Linked DNA regions of Oreochromis niloticus. The protein of the gene in region 2 interacts with the protein of the main gene of each other region in a biochemical or structural test. Links are inferred from orthologs where the notes say so. Each region holds a gene or a part of one and is shown on either strand. Other genes may lie near its edges.

Region 1 (10,229 bases), on a different chromosome or scaffold from region 2:
AACTCATAAGTGCAGTTATGTGGAGTGCAGTTTGTTTGCTTTTTTCTCTATCTTTGCACAAACACGAGGGCTTCTGTGGTGTAGTGGTTAACACATTCATCTTACATGCGAAAGATCTCAGATACTACCCCACTCAAGTTAACTACTACTAGTGCTGGTTGGAAGCCCAAATAAATGGGACGACTGCATCAGTAAGGACATTCAGTGTTATATCTTTGCCATGTCATGCATATCAATCAGCTGTGGTGACCCTTTGGGAAACTCAGTATGCAAAAATTGAAAATGGAACTTCATTTTATGGGTGTATGGGTGCAACAGTTGTATAAAAGTCCCTCCATGACTAGCTTACACTCTTAGATAAAACAGCAAGCTAGCTGCTATAACAATCATACAAAATTTTAACAACTTTTTTTTAATATTCTTCTGTGTTTTCACAATCTGGTCTTGAATATGAATATCGACCATCACCAGTAGTTTGGCTACTGTTGGTTGGTTGGTTGGTAATTTATTTCAACATGTGAACAATATACAGGTACATTTAGAAAAGAAAATAAGAGAGAGAGAGAGAAAAAATACTATACAAAATACATACAAAAAACCCCCATTCTGATTAATTTACATGTTGAAAGGGAGTGAGAAGAAGTAAACACTTATTTAATCCCACCCTGTTGCCATAAATACTGTGTAGGACTGTTATGAAAATGCATGTCTTACCACATCCTTAGTGAGACAGGCAAGTGTGCAGACAAGTGTGTAGCATGTCGCTGACAAGCTGGCACAGCTTCTGCCAATCCAGGAAACTGCTGAGTCATTTAGTTAGTCTAGCAAATTTGACTGTGTCACTGAAGCTAAAAGAAGGATTTCATTTATTGATTGATTAATTAATGATTAATAAAGGATACTGCTTACCTGGTGGTTTATCAGTGTGCCAAATATTTATTAAATAGCTAGCAGCTAGGGAGTTAAATATCTATTTAAGATATGTTTCTCAGGAAAACTCCCCCTGTTTTAAAAACTCCAGTGGCATGGTAAAGTTGGTCTGTGGATGCATCATGCAAAACTAAGCTAAAATTAAACAAGCTAAAACAAAGTCTCAACCTCTGGGGCTGAAAAATGAAGGTAATCTGGACCAGCTAAGAAGGTAACACCTTCAACGTCTGGGAAACTACAGTCAATCGCAAACTGACAGGTCAGTGTTTTATCACAGTTAATCGCTGTAGTATCACAAACAGCTTTCATGTAATTGCCAACTTGACAATTCAAATGCAATCTGATGGCAGACTGATTTCACACCGATGGCCACTGTTGTATGAGGCGCTGTTTGTAAACTGAAACAAGCTGAAATTAACGGCAACATTTTTCCACATTTAGCTCAAAACCTTACAAGAACATGTTTTTTCAAGTCACTTTTTACAACATTTACTAAAATATTTGTAACTTTTTATATTCAAAACACAATTTTAAATGTTAAATGTTTTCAGCTTTGCTTTGTGTTGTCGACATTATGTTAAAACTTAAAAACCCTTAAAGAAAGATTGTGCGTGTGCCCTCATTAGGATAGGGATTTGTGTCGGCATGTTAGCTTAAGCCATAAATTGTTAATTGATAATTATGTGACAGTTCATTTCAGGTCATGTTACAGAATAACATGAAAGTAATGTAACGAGTAATGTAACAAATTCACTCTCCCAGCAATACTGCTGATGGCAGACAGCTTCAGTCTTACTGACTTTTTCGCAATCTTGACGCACCAGAGATGCTTTGAAGGCGACAACTGTCTGCAAGGTCCCCTTCAAACCTTTTCAAAGATTGCACGCTCACTGAACACATTGAGAAAAATGTTTTTGTTGTGCTGTGGTCTCTAGCTGTCATTTTCCCTAGCATGACTGTAGCATTATAGATGAAATAAAAAACGTTTAACCTGGTATGAGACACTGTTCCAACGTGGGTGTGTATCAGAGGACATGGGGATTTTTATTATACGTCACCCATTCAAGTTCTGTTAAGGCTTAAAGTTTCTGTTATTAGAGGTGTGGCCACTTCTGCTGACTAAGTAGCTAGCTATTTGCTAGGCTTCACCTGAGCTTATTTGACTTACTGTGTTTCAACACTTCATTTGTGTTGTTTGGGCCTTTTGGCTGTACCATACACCAGAAATAACGCCAACAGTAAGAAGCGTGCGATGTTATCATACCAATCAAAAACATTAGTCTAGTCCAGCAACCAACAAGTATTTTTTGTCCATTTAGTAAACAGGGATGAGAATAGAGATCTTTTACATTATATGTCAATGTGCCCACTAAATAACTCTTTCTTAAAATATGTAGCAAAGTATATTCTTGTATAAACTAGCTCATTTAAACAACAGTTATGTGTTTAAACAGGCTCCAGATTACAGATGGAAGCTGTCTGCGATAAGGACAGTGCCAGTTTGTTTACAGAGGAGGAAATGTGATCAACTGTTTTCCAAAATGAGTTTCACTAAAAGCAGAAGCTGTTTTAAATTCAAAATGTCATCAGTTTTTAATTCTAATCCTATCGAATAAAAATATGTGTTATTGTCTGGTAAGAATGTTGCAGTAGTGTTTGATTTGCTGAGATGAATTGAATCCTCAAATCTTCTGGAAAAGCAAAGACCTTTTGAGGAAGCACCTGCCCGCTGGCACAGGATAATTTCCACAGTAAACACTGGAAGAGTGAGGAACGTCATCCGGAGCACAATAATAAGGGGTTTTCCCGCAGCCATGTTTACCTCAGAGCAACTTGCCCCTGGAACAGCTGCACAGATTTGCTCCCAAGTACATTAATGCAAAATCCTACTGCACGTGTTTTTTAAAAGTTTCATAAGCAGCCTTTAATTAAGGGCAGTGCAGCTACTGGTAACTTAGAATCTTATAGTCATGCATTATTTTACCTTAAATATGCAAAGGAAGAAATAACTGCTAGATAAACATGCTGAATTCAGCAAATTATGGCTGCTATCTTATATACAGTATACTGTCTGATTAAAAGTGCTATTACAGTGAATTCCACAAATTAAGCTACAATATAGCTGAACCAGTGGTGTGTTATGTCTGCAGTACAAAGAGCATAATATGGGAAAATAGTACAAGGAAAACTGAAGCTCAACTAAAACTCATGAACATCCTGGAGGTACAGCAAAGGGGCCTGTTCAATACATCGGGGGAGCTCAATTGTTCCTTGTTTATTGACAATCACTTTGTCTTTTTATGGCAAATGTAGCAGCAAGACCTTCTCTCAGTCGATGTGTGACAGAGGATAAAAAAGGTTCCCACACTGAGAGGAAGTCAAAGAGGGGCCACTTCTGATGCGGAGGGGGATCAAAATTGAGGAAAGTGCGTGCGTGTGAATGTGCGTGGTCTAGGTATTACTCATCTTGTGGGGACCACAATCAAAAAGGGACAAAAAGTATGCGTGTGAGTGGATGTGTGTCTGTCTGTGTATCTAAATAAATAAAACCTATGGTAAGATTTGAAACAGCACTAGCTTGCCGCACAGAAATCATTGTATAGCTTTTCTGAAAACACCCCCACCCCCACCCCCACGAACACACAATTATAAAACACGCACATTTGCAGTCACACGCAGCGCACACTCACATTAATAATGGGAGTTGAAAGTATCTATTGGCAGCATGTATACTTTTGGCACAGAGGTGGTCAGAAGTGCATTTACTAAAGGAGACCCACGCTCCCTTTCTTTCCCACTGTTGTTCAGGTTATCCTGTGGGGCCACTTATGACCCTTCTGCAGGCAGGATGCAATGTCTGGGGACCCCAACAGAGCTGTACACGAGCATCCGCCAAGCCCTGGGAAGAAAACAAGGGCTGATGGAAAACTAGAAGAAAGGAGTATAAAGAGAAACGGCAGTTAGTAACCAGGACGCACTCAATAACACTCACCATGCACCTGCAGCCTGTGTGTGTGTGTTTGCGTAAATGTGTGTACATGTGTGTACAGTGAAGCAAGGTTGTTCCTTCAGTGAACTACAGCATAGCACAATCCCCACACACAGCACAGGTGGTCCAAACAAAAACCTGTGAAGTGTTGCCCAGAGAGTAATATCCCCACGTTGTGTGTTGTATAAACCCCCCCATAGGAAACAAACACTTCCGGTGTTGTAAGATTTATTGTTTGGTGCACTTATAGGTTACAGTATACTGTGACTGATATCTTCCTTATACGGTTCTTTGATTTATTCTCAATATTTAATAGCAATTTAGCATGCACGTGAGACATGAAAGGGTCATAATTACTGCTAGATAACTCAAGGACATATTGTTTTGTGTTTATTGTCTCACTCTGAAGAAGAGGGGTGAATTCCCTTGGCAGTGCATTGTGTGGTGAGAAAAGGAAAGACCTGGTTAACTGTTTTGTATGGTGTGAAAAACCAAAGCATTGTTGTACTGACCGCACACCATCTTGCTAAATTTTTGCCCCAGATAAGTCACGATTTGCATTCGATTTCACATCTGCACACCTCCACCTGCACCACATACAACACAGAGGAATCCACAACGGTTCAACACTATGCTTCTATATGTGATGTCATTGTAAGGGTCATATATACATAGAAATGCCAAGAATTAGTCAGAAATGGTTACACAACTTTGAACTGACCTACTGTAAGGACAGTCTGGGATTAGAATAAGTCTGGTTACACCCTCTAGTGTCAACACTGGGGAACATCGGGAAGCAATTTCTCATTTTGAATAGTGCTATAAACAACAATAGTATCAGTACCATTAAAAGTAAGCTAACTAACATGAGATCAAATTATGGCCACATTTCTTGCCCTGTAACCATTTTATATACAAGCAGAAAGATGTCTTAACTTTTTGCTTGACTCACTAACCTAAAGTGTATCTTTATTAAGTATTTGGTGGTATTGCATTGAGAAGTCATTATAAGCAACGCACAGTCATGTGAAAAACAACATTGTCACAACACTCATTTCATACGTTGCAATATTTGTGTGAAAAACTAAAAACGCCCAATGATTCAGTAGCTTATAGCAGTGACCTGAAGTAACCACTTTCTGTATGACTGCATCAGTCTGTCACTGTCCACTCTACTCTATAACACTATTTTTTTAAGGCATTTGTTTATGCACAGCTCTCTTAAGGTCCTGTAACAGCATTTGAGATCTGGACTTTGACTGGGTCACTGAAACATCTTGATTTTTTCAGACATACTCTTGTAGGTTTGCTGCTGTGCATTGTCCACCGATTATTGTACACGATCCAGTTTCAGCCAAACTTTAGCTGTTGGACGGATGACCTCACATTTGACTCTAAAAAACTTTGGTTTAACGCCGAGTTCATGGTGGAGTCGATACCTGCAAGGTACCCTGTGGCTGCAAAACAAGCCCAAATTATCAACCCGTCAACCGCCATACGAGACACTGGTATGAGGCGTTTGTGATGACATGCTGTGCTTGGTTTTGGTTTGTTTGGCGAAAGCATCATGGCCAAACATGTTCATTCTGGTCTTGTTGGTTGAAAAGACAGTATTTAAGAAGTCTAGGTTTATTCAGATTCATCTTTTCAAGCCTAAAATGCTCATTTTAGAGAGAAGAGGGTTTCCCCTTGGTGACCTTTTCAAACCAGCCATACTTATTCAGTCGTTTTCTAAACATACTGCACTGAATGAGGCTTTTAGAGTCTCAGATGTAGCTCTTTGGTTACCTTTACCTTCGTTATTGCTATGGAAGCAGTATGAGTGTTGTTTGTTTTTTACAGTACTGCACAGAGTGCTATAAAAACATTTTCATATGACTATATTTAACTACTTTTGGGTTTCCTGTGTAATAGAACTTATTGCATACAGCCTTAATAATGAAAAAGTATCAGTAAATGGGAATTGTGAAATCTTGCTCTGTTATTACATGGAAACAGACTTAAACTGAGTGCATGTTTTGGGATATACACCTTCACACTTTACTGTTTTCTGTGGTCATCAGGCAATATAGGCAAAAGAAGAGCTGCAAGGCCCTCATTTGTTGCTATTGTTACTGCAATAAAAATATTAATTAACACAATAGTAATCAGTTATTGACATTAAAACTTGCATAAAATTTATAAAGGGGTATATTACCAGGGTGGTTGCACATCCCACTAGTAGCTGAACACTCCCTCTTGTGGCTGGAATTGTGTATTGTTTTACAGTATTACTGTAAACATGTTTCTTGACACTGAAAGGTAAAGATATGAGTAGCAGAGGCCAGCAGAGGAACTGAAATGTGTGTCATGGAAACCATGCCCTGTTTCTTTATCTTGCATCTTATACACTTGAGCAGACAACACTCCACCACACCTACATTTAACACCAATCACCCAGACACACAATACAACACAGTGCAGACACTTCTTTTTTTCCATTGCATTGTCGATTTGATACCAAAGGTCATTTGCATTTTTTAAAAAAAGATCACAGGCACAATTTTTGCAAATCATTGACCGCATCTACACATTCTGAAGTAAAACAAGCTCTACTGATAGCTAACCTAAAGTCCTTCTTGACCAATAACTTTGAGGACCATACATTTGTGAGTTTTAATACTTAAAGATGACATACAGTTATCAGTTGTGTTCACTGACTAATTGCAGGACTGGGGCGGGGTAACTACTGCAAGTGAAATTTAATCAGAAGATTATTTTTGCACTCTGTAGGTAGATCATCTGCCTGAGAATCAAGGGAGAAATGTAAGAGACCAGACAAAAGAGCAAACTGCTGTCTGTTTCCAGTAAACTGAATGTAACCCCAAAGGGGAGGTCCTGGTCTTCACTGTTAGAGAGAGAGAGAGCGAGAGCAAGAGAGAGAGAGAGAAATTAGAGCAGAGCAAAAGAGAGAGAGAAACTTTCCAAACCAAAATGAGTGAGTGAGAGTGACACACTGACAAGCACTCAGTTTTCAATGAGGAAATTGAAGACATTTTGCATCTGGAGTACTTCTGAAGACACGAGCCAAAGACAAGCTAAAGGTATTTATCTGCTGAATGAATATATTACATTATAGAGCAGTGACAGGCATTGAGAATTTCTAGATATTGTAAGGTAATGGTGAACATAATAGTGTAAGTAATATTTTATTTAAATAATGGTGTACAATGTTGGTAAAACACATCAAAAATTAAACAAAACATAACGCGTAACGTGGATGATCAAATATGTGCGATAAATAATTGGCAAAAGTATCAAGGCTAATTATTATTATGAATTTTCATTTCAATTATCACTTTTTTCCGCGTGAAATCCATAAGTCAGCGGTTTGTGTAAAGCCTCCCTACAGGCATGCATTTCATGACATATTGTTATTACACACCACTGAATATTAAAGCACTGCTCTTGCTGTTTTAGGGGTAATTTTCCATTTTAAGACGTAATTAAACCATCGATATTGATAATACGGTACTTACACATACAGTCTAAAGCATACACAACACTCTACACTACTCTGCTACATCATTATTTTATCAGTGTTGTATATTTGCATGTGCAGTCATTATCTTTAGCTTTTGTAATACACATTACATCAACTATATTTGACTTTGTGATCTAAAAAACACTTTTAAGTTTTAACATTAACACCTCATAAAACTTGCTTCAGACAAACAGCAGTTCTTTTTTAACACCATCGCTTGGTTTGGTATCATTTCTACACCAGTGTGTTTTTAGCTATTTTTAGCCGTTTTCTTTTCCTCTATTTTTAACTGAAACTTGACAATGAAGCCCCATCATAAACTGTACATGCTAATGCAATGGTAAAGAGCTGTAAACACATTTTCACTTCCTCTTTTGAGAGCCAGTTTTTGTTTTTTGTTTTCTTGTTTCAATTTTATTATTTTTTTGGGTCACCTGTTACCAAGCAATACATCTAAAGAGATGCTCACTAAATACATTTTTAGCAATTTTGAGTCATTAGATGTCGTTTTCCAGCACCGGGCATGAAGTCAAAGAGCAGGCCCTGCAGTGGGAGGAGTGGAGACTAAAAACAGCAGCAGGAAAGCTCATCTGTTTGATCAGGTAAAAGCAAAGTATTGAGCACATTGTAGCTATGTGAGTGTCTTTCCATAAACTTGTTGAATCATTGTTTACTGATACCACACTAAACAGTGCATTCTGTAATTAGATATGTTATTTTAGTAAATGTTAGCATCATGTAACATAGCTAAAAGAGATTTCCACGAAACATGCAGGATGGGCTGCACTTGCAGTGGCGAGAAACAAGTAAAAGAAGAAGGATTCTACAAAGGAAAACACAAATCACACGCCTCCCCGTCATCAAACCATATAGTAAGTAAAACACTAAAAAGATTTACTCAGATGTGAAACAAATTTTACTCTAATTACCTCAAAAGGTTTACTTGACAAACTGGACATAATCAACGTCTTCTTTTTTTCTCTCCATTCTTTCAAGGGACGAAGTGGAAACGCCTATACAAATAATGGTAATCACAAACCTCCTTGCATAAATCAAACATCATAGTAGAAAGTAACAGGCCTGCATTCATGGACCCAACTGCTGCTGCGTTAAGAGACATTAGTGGCAGTAATAAGAGCTACAGTTTTGCGATCGAAATCTCGGTTGAATTTCCTCTGTTCTCTTCTGGGGATTAGATGAGATTGCAAATACATGAAAGTAATGTTAATGTCACAGATGTAAAATAACACAGCGGTTGCTCGGAGAAGGAAAACAATATCACCACAAATTGCGCATGTTAGAACACAGGATCATGTCAAAATAAAACGTCTAAGAGTAAAAAGCAGATTAAAAATACACTTTTAAAGAAACTCTGTGCTCTTCTTCCCTTTAGATGACACTATATTTATTGCACAACACGACTTCAAAGCGACCAACGACAGTGATCTGCCTTTCAGAAAGGGAGACAAACTTAAAGTATTGCAAGAGTAAGTCTCATTCTATGGTTCCCACAGTTGTGAAAGTGACAATAAAGAAAGCGCACAGAGAAATAAAATGAATGCGACGTGTTTGTCTGATGTACAGAACCGGAGAATGGTGGCTGGCCCGACTGCTGACGACTGGACAAGAAGGCTTGATACCATCGAATTATGTAGCCAGAGCAGATACACTGGAAGTGGAAAAGTAAGCTTGAAATATTATGGAATGAAATGTAGCACGCATCTATTGATTGATTAATGTTGTTGTAATGCTTTGTATTATTATATTCAGGAAGAGTGACTTCTATGGTTTTGTGGTGCTCTCTCTTGCAGATGGTTTTTCAAGGATTTGGGCAGAAGAGAAACCGAGAGGCTACTTTTAGCACCCGGAAATAAACCAGGGGCCTTTCTAATTCGAGAGAGTGAGACCTGTAAAGGTGACCACCATCAGTATCTTTCCGTGATCATGCCACAAATCACATTTTTAGCAGCTACCTGTATTCATTTTCAGTGTGGTCAATAAACCCAAATGTCCCTTTTTCCCCTCTCAGGGTCATTCTCGCTGTCAGTCAGAGATTATGAAGGGGAAAGAGGAGATGTAGTAAAACATTACAAAATCCGTTGTCTGGACAAAGGTGGCTACTACATCTCCCCTTCCAACACGTTCTCGACCCTACAGGAATTGGTTCAATACTATACCCGTAAGTAACAACTACAAATACAACATCTCCACCCTCAAAAAGTTTGTATTTTCAGAGATGTATAATTTAAGAAACCATATCTATGCACAGGATTTTCTGTTTCTGTGTTTCCAATTCAGCATTTATAATTGTAAATCCTGCATCTTGCATTGATTTGGACTCAGGTTAAGCTTGCTGCTTTGAATTATAAAACATCTGCAGTGACTTTGAATTAAAGGGGGAAGTTCGACCCTTGTGATGTGTTGTGCATTTCCTGAGTGAGAGGAGTGATAGTCTTTCCACTCCTGCGACTAAACCACAAGATAAGCAGGCCAGATCTTGAGAAAGGTTGTCTCAAAGATCAACTTATGAAAAAGAAATGCATGTGAGCACGAACAAACATGCTTTTAGAATTATCTAATGAAAGATGAGATGTATGGTTTCTGTAACTAAATTTATCACTCGTGCAAAGAAAGATGGAAAAAAATATTGTTTGTTATATCTGAATGTATCGTATTTGGGTGCAGACACGGCAGATGGGTTATGTCAGCGACTGTATGCTCCCTGTAAGCCTATGGCCCCTCAGCAGCCATGGGCCCATGATGAATGGGAGATTCCTCGAGAGACAG
Region 2 (11,079 bases):
GCGTCTACTTGCTGAAGTCATGAGGCTTTGAAAATACAGGCAAACTTCAACCCACCCTTATGTACTTCAAGGGCTTGTAACTCAGGTTTCATAGCTTGAAGATAACATTGTGCATAGGTTCATTAATCATCCTAAAGTTACTTCACAAAAACATTCAGCTGGTCCCGAGAGTCTCGTGTGGAAGTGACATTTAAAGCACACACGTGCTGCAAACGGTCAATATTTAGCATACGGTGCACCTCTGTGGAAGCATTTGAATTAGTCTTTCCTCCGGATGCACATTCGGGTTTTGCCTTTGATCTGTCACCCGCCTGCACACACCACTCCAAAAAATAATTACTTCTCCATTAGTGCTGGGCGATATGGAAAAAATATTTATCACGATATGAATTATTTTATAATCACGATAACGATATATATCACGATATACCACCTGACCTGTGGTCATCTGGAAAGTATGCAGTCTGTAAACAGCGAGTGGAGAGGGTGCAGTCTTTGTTTTGAGTTACCGTAAAGCATGTCACAAATCCGGGTGCACGTAAAGCAGCACCATGTCGCAAAACCACAAGACGGAGTTTCTTTGTGAAAAATATCTTTTTTTTATACTTTATGTACTCTTGCATAAAGTTAAGAGTATGTATAGTGAGAAGACAACACTAATATATTTGCCACAGGCTATTTAACTCTTTAAGACCTACCATGAGACCAAGTCCACCAGAGCTTATCTTTACATTTTACATGCTGTAGTGCCATTTGTGGGAGCATTTCAAGTTGCTATACATCAATACAACCGTTATAGCCCAAATTTTAATGATATGTATGCATTAAGTCCATAGTAACTACATAAATTGCAAAAAAGTGCAATAAACTACAAAAAAATTGAAAATCGTTTTTTTGTTTTTGTTTTGTTTTTTACATGTATTTCTACTTAGAGAAATTTAAGAGGCTTATCCCTCAAAACTGTAAATACAAGAAAGTTGCACAAAATAGTTTCCAACCACGAGAAATTTATTTTGAGTGTCTTCATAGTTTTATTTTTGAGATACACTAATTTTTATATACTACAGGAAAAATGAAAATAAATATTATAATGCAAATTTGCAAAAAAACAGCATGTGCATCAAAATAAACTATTTCCAACAGTGTAATTTGACTTCTAAGCATCCCGGAAACGATACAGAAAAGCATAAAGTCAAACATGATTTTTAAAAACACCAACATAGGCTATAAAAAGTAAAAAACTACATTTTCCGCGAAAATGACGTCACTTCCGGTTTCGGAAAGGTAATGGCGGACATACGATGTTTGGGGTTACTTATATTCCAACATAGGAAGTGTTATGAACAGCTGATCGGATCGCAAAGCCTGTTTCTGGAATATTGTTTTTGTTGCTGCAAGTCTGGAATATTATGTTTTTGTTGCTGGAAGTGCTTTTTATGCAATTTTTGCAAAGCTATATGTGGAAGGAAACCGTGACCTAGAGCAAGCTAATGGAATAACATGTAAGTACAACTCCTACGGTTTCATATGCCAAAAAAATTATTGCGCTACCTTACGTGGTTCCAGTTCTACAGGGATTTAAAAATAGTTAGGCAAAACGGAGTGTGCCTGCTCCGACCAGTTGTAAAGGGTTAATTAATGATATATTTTATGTAATAATTTATAAAATTAGGGTTAGAAACAATAGAAACGATAGAAGACAAATGGCACGATAGACACTTTTCTATCGTCCACACGATATATATTGTCATATCACCCAGCACTATTCTCCATTATGGATGAATATGCTAGCTTCATATTTAGCAATTTTGTGCTAGTTTTCATTTGAATGATCTCTCTCATCAACTCCTTATTTTATGAGGGACAGAAATTATATTTAATTAATTAAATAACCCTGGAAAATATGTTATGGTTTTTGTTTATATTGTACTGAAAATACAACACGATTCTTTGTTTCTAAGTTTGGAATCGAGGGTTTGAAACAGCATTTTTACCCGTAGCTCCTTACTTGCAACGTCGTGCAGACATGGGATACGTTACATGTTTTACCTGGAGGGAGTTTTTACAAACACCACATCAAACAAAAGGTTGTTTAATAAGAAGAATTTTTAATATATTTATAATAGTTATCAGACTGAATGAATGGGCAGTAAAAAGAGCAAACTCCTTTCTTTTAAATCATTTATTTCCAAATGAATGGCCTTGTTGGAAGGGCTTTTTGGCCCTTATGATGCATAATAATTTCACCGCGCTCATGAGATGCTACTGCATTTTAGTTATGGATGCTTTGAAAGTTTACACTACATTAAAAATAACTGCAACCTCTTTAGTTTTATAGAGAGCTGGCCAGCACCCTACGCCGAGCCTGATTTGGCCTGTGAGCCGCAAGTTGAGTATCACTGTTACAGACCTATTATGAATTACAGGGAAGTTAATAAATAGTGAAAATAACAGGGTTTCTTTTAATTATTTCCCCATGATTTCATTCTGCTAACACAAACAGGTAGCTGAGGCAATCGTTTAAATACTGAGAGTTTAGAAGATGTCAGCAGTATTTCTGAGTGTCACACTGATGACACTTTATTTGTCTAACACTTTATTTCCTCCGAGGATTTTCCCACTATACTCTTAAAGCCGGGTGAAGAGAAGACATACGGAAGAAGAGGCTGAAAGTCTCCTCGGAGGACAGCAGCGATGCCTCTCTGGTGGTCCCGCTCTCATCTCCGGGTGAGTTAGATCAGTAACATGCAGTCTAGACTGGTGAGTCACAGCAGGCTGAGTTAGCCTATCACTGAGGCCACTTCAGTAAGACTTAATCAGTGCACAGTGAGCTTCACTAGAGTGTGACGAGGGCACGAACTCTATGGATACAAAGGCCACTGAACACAGACACACACACGGGGACGGGGAGGTGAAAGAGTGTGTGTGTGATATAACACTTTAATAATACTTCATAACTGAAAGTAAGACTGCTGAGATTCACTCTGGAGCCAGTCGGAGCGCTCGTCCTGAACTGATGCTTCACAGATTGAGTAAAGTGCACCAACCAGTTCCCACCAACAATGCAGTCATAGTTGAAAATCACTTCACCTGTGACTATAGGCTTTGTTTGTGTGTGTGTGTGTGTGTGTGTGAGAGAGAGAGAGAGGGAGAGAGCAGCTAATAAAACAGACAGTTGTTTGTACTTACATTAGTCATTTTAGTTGTGAGGGGGACTTGAATGAAAAACCCCAAAGGGGGCTCTTTCTTTATTTTGTGCACATCAATGAAAGCCAACAGCTGTATGTCAATAAAGTGAGCACTGTAGAATAAATTGTTATTGAGTTCAGATTCATTTTTCTATTAGCATGTGCCAATAAAACTGCTTTTAAAAGCAGCTGGCCGGGGATTATTGATCTCCCCAAATACACCTAAAATAGATCTATACAGGTCCATATGCACCCATTAATCTGCACAACCAATCATTTTCTCAGTTAACAAATTAAATATCTCAAGTCCAAGTACTGACTGACCACCAGATCAAGCATTAAATTATATTATTTATTATTATAAATTATTATTATCCCCCCAAAACCTATAATAAAATGAAAAACAAGCAAAAATATGATTTGCAGCTCTTTTGCACCTTCCAGTTAGCTCTTGTTTTACTGGCACGTACTCAAGCTCCAAGTGTGACAAGTGGCCCCTCTATCGCACAATGTCCCCCTTTTAGAGCCAGGAGTGAATAATTGACATCGTCATGATCCTTGGCCCACAATGCACTGCCTGTTTAGTGTCTTGTTTTTGTTTGTGTTTACAGCAAAGCCACGAACCGTCCGCCTGCAGTGCACAAGTCAGTTGTGTCGCAAAGCTGCAAAGCAGGTTCTCATATTTCTTACCTGAGTCTCTGCTCTGTGTTTATTTGAGCAAGTCAAAGTGTTGCAAGATTGGAGATTTGTGTTTATTTATTTTTTAAATCTTTTTAAAAATTATTTTGGTCCAAACTGTAAATCTAAAGCGAGGCTGTTTTGTGACAGGTGTGATTTTTCCTCATAATCAGCCCTTCATAAATCCCAGGAGGGCTGAGAGGACCCGGCTGAGGAGTCACGGAGGAATGTAGTCCTCCGGACCAGAAAAAAACCTCCAGCATTTCCTGAAATTACAGCCAGCACACTCCTGTGCCATCTCCCCGACGCTCCGTGGTTCTATTTTGCCGACGGCGGAGGTATTAGAGACAGGGGAAAAGCGCTGAAAGTTACCCACCTTCTCTGCCTGAAGCGCCCGTCACTCCGAGCAGCACGGCCCCGACAAACAGCAAACTTCTCGCCGCCTCCATCTGCGCAGACCCGGCGCTTCTAGTCCATCTGGGGGGAACAGAGATGAAGTTTTTGCATCTCATTTAGAGCTAACTGTCGTTTCTGGCACCGTGTGGAGTTGTTGTTCGTGTCCGAATCTCAGTTACTTCCTCCCATGAATTCCCTGCCTGTTGGTAGTAAGCGCGTAACAGGAGCGGAGGCGCGCTCCCGTGGCGTGAAGGCCTGAACGGGGAGTGGCAGGTTCAGTCAACCCGCCCTCACTCCGGTCTGACTTACTTAACCCTATAACACGTTTCATTCTAATTATGTCTAAAAATTACCTTCAAACTTTAATTGCGCTTATTTCTCCTCAGAGGGCTCAAGTGGATCAAAGTGTTAAATATGGAGAACAATTAAAGCATTTACCCTGTTCATGCATAATCTGTGAATATGCTACCATCTTTTTAAAAATTTCAGTATGCCTTCTATCGCTTGGAAGTAAAGGGGAAAAGTCAAATTGGCTATATGCAGGGGCGTTTCCGGGATTTTTTACAGTAGGGTGCCACAGAGGGGTGGGGTGGGGGTCAGCATACAGGGTGTATCCAAAAAAGAACAAAAAAAATCATCTGATTTCAAAGTGCTTTAATTCCACAGCCCTTCACTGGAAACGGTCGAAAAAGCAGATTTGTGAGTTTTGCACGGTTGTCTGTGGGTAGCAAAACAACAGCAGTGACTCCAGACATGCCCGCAAAAGTATGGGACGAGTTTGCCTTTCGTATGGACATGTGCCGTGCATCCAGAAGAGGACACACTAAACACTTGTGAACAAGTTGTAAGTTTTGTTATTTTAAACTTTATTTTCAGCAATGTATTTAAAAAAAAATTACCACAAACTTCTGTGTCCATTGCTTTAAAAAAATACCTAACCTTTTGCAATCTGATGATTTCTTTAGATACACCCTGTGTTTATGAGAAGCAAAATCTGGGCTCTCAAAAAGTATTCTTGACCCTCAAATATGAAGGGTTAAGTTTGAATAAAATGCACTTGAAATGTGTAAACTCAAAGGTTTATTTATTCAAATAATTAACCATTAAGGGAAATATGCTTGGTGTAAGCTGACCACATAACAATCAAATACATTTCATTCACCAGATTGCATTAAATGTTTCACACTGTACATTTACATGTAATCAAATTACTTAAAGTTAGAATTTTGGGGATAAATATTTTTTGTATAGAGCATTGACTTTGAAAAGCCTGGCTGTGATTTTCAGTCCCTGACCCATACTATGACTGTATAACATGAAAAGTGGTGCTTTACAAGAGTTTAAACATAATTTTGTGTTGGTCGATTATTTTGGAAAGTTAAAAAAAATAATTTGATTATGTAAAAGTAGTAATAATTGTTAAGTAACTTAGTAACGCAACGGCTGTATAACCATCACACATTTAAAGCACCTCCAGTAAACATGCAGATTATGTAGAAGGGTGTTTTCATAATTACTTACTCATTGATGTAAATAACACTGTTGCACCTCAGGATGATTTTAATTACTTATATATTTCTGGGCAGCTTGTTATGATAAGCAGGTTCTGGATGGATGCAGGACTCTGAGGCAGGCAGATGTAAAACAGAAAATTACCTCTATTAAAGGTGAAGAAAAGTCCAAAACACATTCAAGAAGTCCACAAGGAGAATTTAAATAACAGAGGTCTAACAGGAGAAACAAAATCCGACTGGAAATAGGCTGGAAACACAAGAGGATAACAAACAGACAATTTAACAATGAACAAAGGAAACACAGGACTATAAAAACTCACACGCTGGGTGCTAATCAAGGGAAGTGAACACTACTGGGAGAAATCTAGGCACAAGTAAACAGAATCTGGAGAATGAAACTAAGGAAATAACAATTACAGATTAGACACACATTTACACAGTAAATTAACACGAATGAACACCGGTGAAAATAAACTAAGGCACAAGGGATGAGATATAAAAAATAAATAAATAAAAGAGACTAGATCTCAAAGAAACAATGACTAACACCAGACTATACTATAATTACAAGAAAAATAAAGAAACCCCTGAACTGAAAACATAAACTTTAACTTAAAAACTTAAAATGCTGGGTCCAAAACCCAGGACCACGGCAGATCTATAATAATGCAAATTATCTACATGACAGTAAGTAACTTAAGATTTAAAATGAACAGTATTGTGTATAAAGTATAATATTTAACATTTACATATAAGTGAATTAGACCTTTATCTGAGTAAAGTACTAAGTTACACAGTTAAAAAAAAAAACATTGTCCTGATTAATTTTCTGTATGGCAAATGGTAAAATTCAGTGTATATAATGTAACTCATTTTAAAATGGTACATTGTACTGTATACATTCCTACAGGTCCATGCTCTCATTCACTGCTGGGCATTATACAGTTGTCATGGAGCCATAGACACATGTGGTTTTTGTGTCTTCTTATTGGCTGTTCTGACACTTACTTTTTTAAATGTACTTTAATCTTTTCTCTTGTACGTCCCCTTTTTCTATTTTTCTGTGATGAGCACTTAAATAAAGTCACTTTCTTACACCACATCCATGATGTAATACTGATCCCCAAACATCCATGAAACCTTACAATGTGAATACATTTCAGATTAAAAGGGGACATCAGGATATTTGAAAAATGTTCAAGTTAAATTGCCTGTTTTTTCAAAAATTACATAAAATGTGCATTATCATATAAGAAAAGACCTACATCAAGAGTTTATTTAGAACAATTACATAACAATTATCCCACTAACACAATATTTCACCAATTTGACGTGTAGTATTAAATGTCTGTTTAAAAGAATGACACATTTTACAATAACTGTGTCAAAACGCGTAATTAACAAATTCAAACATGTTTAATTAGAGTTTCATTTTGTTTTGTAGAAGTTGTAAAACTCCCTGTTTGAATTATTAAATGTGAAAACTGGTTACATGAAAAAAATTATCTGAAATGTATCGAGGCAACGATTACACTCTTAGCTGCATTATTTCATTATGAATCACACTGACTGATATCGATGTGTTTATTTTTGCAAACTGGCAAATTTTTAGATGTAAGTCTTGCTTTGTATATCAGTATGTTTGACTATTAAAACTTTATTAATATTTAAGGAATGAATCAAATCAACATTTTAGATCAGGGGACTGTTGAATTTATAAAAAAAAAAAAGTGAATTCTTTGCGTGATACAAGATTGGAGTGTCTTCATATTTCTCCCGCTTTTCTCATGCTCTTCATTCACGGTCACAAATCAGGAGTCGAAGGAGGAAGAATAAACTCTATTCATCCCAATCTATCGTCTCTCCCCACCCACAGAAGCCCGGGTCAGAGTCCAGCCTCCTGCACAGAGCTATCAGAAAACAACAATAAGCTACACACTGAGCCACACAGACCACAAGTTGCGGACCGTTCGCGAAGCTGAGTGGTGCTAGTGAGGCTGAAATATTTAGTTCCCACAGAAAAAAAAGTCATCTGCTCCTGAGGGATGCAGTCAGTTTAGTATTCTGGTTGGAAGATTTTCCCAGCAGTGAACTTTAAGTCTTAAACTTTAAGTGTTTGTTGGCTCTGTATGCAACTCCTCGTTTTAGCAAGCTGTGCTACAATAAAACCTGATCCAGTAGTCAGCAATTTTCATCACACTTGATGGTGGAAATTGCTTCAGAAAAAATGGCTGTAATTCTCAGGAACACATAAAACGTGTGTAAAAAAAAAAAAAAAAAAGGTCTGTGTGGGTTAAAAGGTGAGGAGGCCAGGAAGTGGGTGAGAGATAATGTGTTCAAGTGAGAGAGTCCAAGGACAACTGCAGTGAAGCACAGTGAAAATATACAGAAAAGAAGTCATTACCAAAGAACATCATAAATTCACTCATAGTTCAGTTCCCCTGACTGGCCAAGTTTTTAGATTTGGCATGAGAGAAGAAATAAGAAATACAGTGCGGGACTCTTCAAGGACAAGAAAACCATATTGTTTCCCACTGCTGCTCATAAATCCAAATACAAGTCTAAAGGAATTTGTCTTGATTATATCGGAGACACAATGAAGGTATCTGTGCATATATCACTGGCACAAATAGTACAAGGTCAGCAAGCCCTTTAGACTGCAGTGTAACAGGGGAGGGACAAACATGTCACTTCTCTACTCACTTGTCCTGCTCTGTTGATACCTCTAGCTGTGAACATTTCATGCATTTTAACACAGGTTTAGTGTAGCAACACTCCTTCAAATCATCCACCTAAATGCAAGAAAAATTAAGGATTACTTAAACTTTTATAAGTATACGTGGGAGGAAATGGAAATACATCAGTGCTTTGTAAGAGACACTCACAGGCCTGTGAAGTGGATAAACAACTCAGTGCATTTAGGCATGTAGACATGGTCAAAACAACCTGAAAACTGAACATGAGAATGGGGAAGAAAGATGATTTCGGTGAGTTTCAACATGGCATGGTCTGAATATGTCAGAAACTACTGATCTGCTGGGAGTTTCCCAAACAACGATCTGTAGAATGGTTTAAAAACGAGAACATAACCAGTGAGCTGCAGTTCATATCAGAGGTCAGAGGGGAACAACCAGACTCCCTTGAGCTGATAGGAAGGCAACAGTAACTAAAATAACCTCTGTTTACAGGATCTCTGGAAGCACATTGTCTACAGCAGCAGAAGACCACACCGGGTGCCATTCCTGTCAGCTAAGAACAGGAAGTCAAGCAAACCAAACCTGAACAACAGAGGCTTGAAAAAGAGCTGCTGGATCTGATGAGTCTACATTTCTACTGTGACAATCAGATGGTAGGGTCAGAATGTGGTGCAAACAACATGAAACCATGAATTCACCATGTCATGTATCAACAGTTCAGGCTGCTGTTGGTGTTAGAGATATATTTGGGCTCCTCCTGACTAATTCAGCTTACCTGCGTGTTGTTTCTAACCATATCCATCCCTTTATGACCACAGTGTGTGATCTTCTGGTGGCTGCTTCCAGCAGGATAACATGCCTAAGGTGTCAAAGTTCAGTCATCTCAAACTGGTCTCTGGAACATCACAATGAGTTCACTGTTCTCAAATGGCCTCTACAATCACCAGATTCCAATCCAATAGACGTTTTGGATGTGGATGAATGTGAGAGGCTCATCATTGATGTGGCAAATCTGCAGCAACTGTGCGATGCTGTCATGTCAATATGAACCAAAATCTCTAAAGAATGTTTCAAGCACCTTTTTCAGTCGATGCCATGAAGAATTAAGGGAAAAGAGTGTATACTAGGAATGTGTGTCTGACAGCTGGATTTGCCACCATTTAAAAAAATTATTATTCCAAATGTAACTTACAAAATCAAGCTCTTACTGTAAAAAAATGACTGTGCTGTATTAAAAATCTTTAGGTTTGTTTGCCATTAAAACTGCTACTTTAGAGTTCCCATAAACATCTTTTTACTGTAAAATATAACATCATATGCTTTCCAGAGACTTTACATCACATCTTTTCTGAACTATAAAAGGATATCAGCTTTGTTGTAATTTCCCCTCTGTCCTTGCACTTCACAGGCACTGAAACACTGCTCTATTCAACACTAACATTAAAAAAAAAACAAAACCCTGAAGGCGAGTGCAGAGCAGAGGTTATTTATCGGTACAAAGACTTAGGTCAGGTTGTGGGCCAGTGCTAGCATAACCACACCACAGTTCACGGGAATACATCCACTAAAAGTCTAAATACTATCGTAACACTTCATGATTTTAACCAACGAGACTTTGTGCCCAGCAAGGAATCAAATACTATATATAATTAACATTTCCAGTAGTTTTTAGTTATTTTTCCTGCCCTCATGGACATAAACATTTGCAGCATTCAGCTGTATTCACTAAGGACAAAGCTTGTAACGTGATCCCCCAGAGTGCGTTTACCTGATAGCACTTGTAGTACTTTGAATGTTTCTGCTTGTGCATTTTTACCATTCATGCATCCACTTGAGAAACGTTTACACCAGTACAACGCAGAGAAATCCCAGTGGAAGGGTTAAAAATGGTGTCTTTACAGTCCTGTGCAACTGAAACGTTTTCAGTCTACAGATGGAGTGATGGTTTCTGTAAGACAGCTATGAAGTGGCAGCTCTCGGACAACAGCTGCTGAATGGCGTTTGCCACATCGCAGAGCAGCGAGACACGAGAGAGCAAATACCATTGGCATATTTTACTGCCTTCCTCAATGCACACATACCACATACTCTATTGTTTGCTAGCATTTTGAGTACTTTTTTTTTTTTCATATTTAATCATATGATGTAAAGCTGAATTTGTGCAATATAAAGACAGGATAAACCCTAGGTGCAGAAAAAACCCAACCCCTGCTTAATTTCTTCTCAACAAAGAACAATTTTATTTATCCCATTACTGAAGATTTTTTTATTTTTTTGGTCAAACATTAGATGTGAGGTGGAGGAAAGTACACTTGGTTAGAGAGGTGACAGTGCACAGGGCAGCAGGCAGGGGGCAGCAGACGAATGAGAGAAGGGATGCGGTTACCGGCAAGAAAGAAACGGAACAATGGGATGAAATCACAGCAAAAACTGGAGTGTTTTCTGCCAGCTCTTCAGGAAATATTTAAGTTATTCAAACAGATTTTATTACAGTGAAAACACTATTTTCTGATCTGTGAACAAAAGGATTTTGGTAGAGAACAGGCAAAGATTTTGTGTTAAATGGACAGTTTTCTCTTTAAAAGTGCTCAAATAAAAGGGGCTGAT

What was found.
Region 1: the proteins of erbb2 (region 2) and blk form a complex in vitro, tested with the Homo sapiens proteins (2 studies listed by BioGRID and IntAct, with this or other methods). The link is inferred for Oreochromis niloticus from reciprocal best matches to the Homo sapiens genes ERBB2 and BLK.

Annotation. Positions count from the first base shown.
Region 1 is NC_031980.2:8,609,223-8,619,451, forward strand, and holds the start of blk (tyrosine-protein kinase Blk), read left to right. Parts: upstream 1-6,939; 5' UTR 6,940-7,002; intron 7,003-7,957; 5' UTR 7,958-8,044; intron 8,045-8,217; 5' UTR 8,218-8,218; coding exon 8,219-8,314; intron 8,315-8,438; coding exon 8,439-8,469; intron 8,470-8,835; coding exon 8,836-8,929; intron 8,930-9,026; coding exon 9,027-9,125; intron 9,126-9,253; coding exon 9,254-9,357; intron 9,358-9,471; coding exon 9,472-9,621; intron 9,622-10,127; coding exon 10,128-10,229. UniProt on the Homo sapiens protein: Non-receptor tyrosine kinase involved in B-lymphocyte development, differentiation and signaling. B-cell receptor (BCR) signaling requires a tight regulation of several protein tyrosine kinases and phosphatases, and associated coreceptors.
Region 2 is NC_031973.2:16,304,825-16,315,903, forward strand, and holds the start of erbb2 (receptor tyrosine-protein kinase erbB-2), read right to left. Parts: upstream 4,834-11,079; 5' UTR 4,379-4,833; coding exon 4,243-4,378; intron 4,237-4,242; exon of another isoform or gene 4,017-4,236; intron 3,862-4,016; exon of another isoform or gene 3,800-3,861; intron 2,728-3,799; exon of another isoform or gene 2,331-2,727; intron 1,503-2,330; exon of another isoform or gene 1,445-1,502; intron 1-1,444. UniProt on the Homo sapiens protein: Protein tyrosine kinase that is part of several cell surface receptor complexes, but that apparently needs a coreceptor for ligand binding. Essential component of a neuregulin-receptor complex, although neuregulins do not interact with it alone.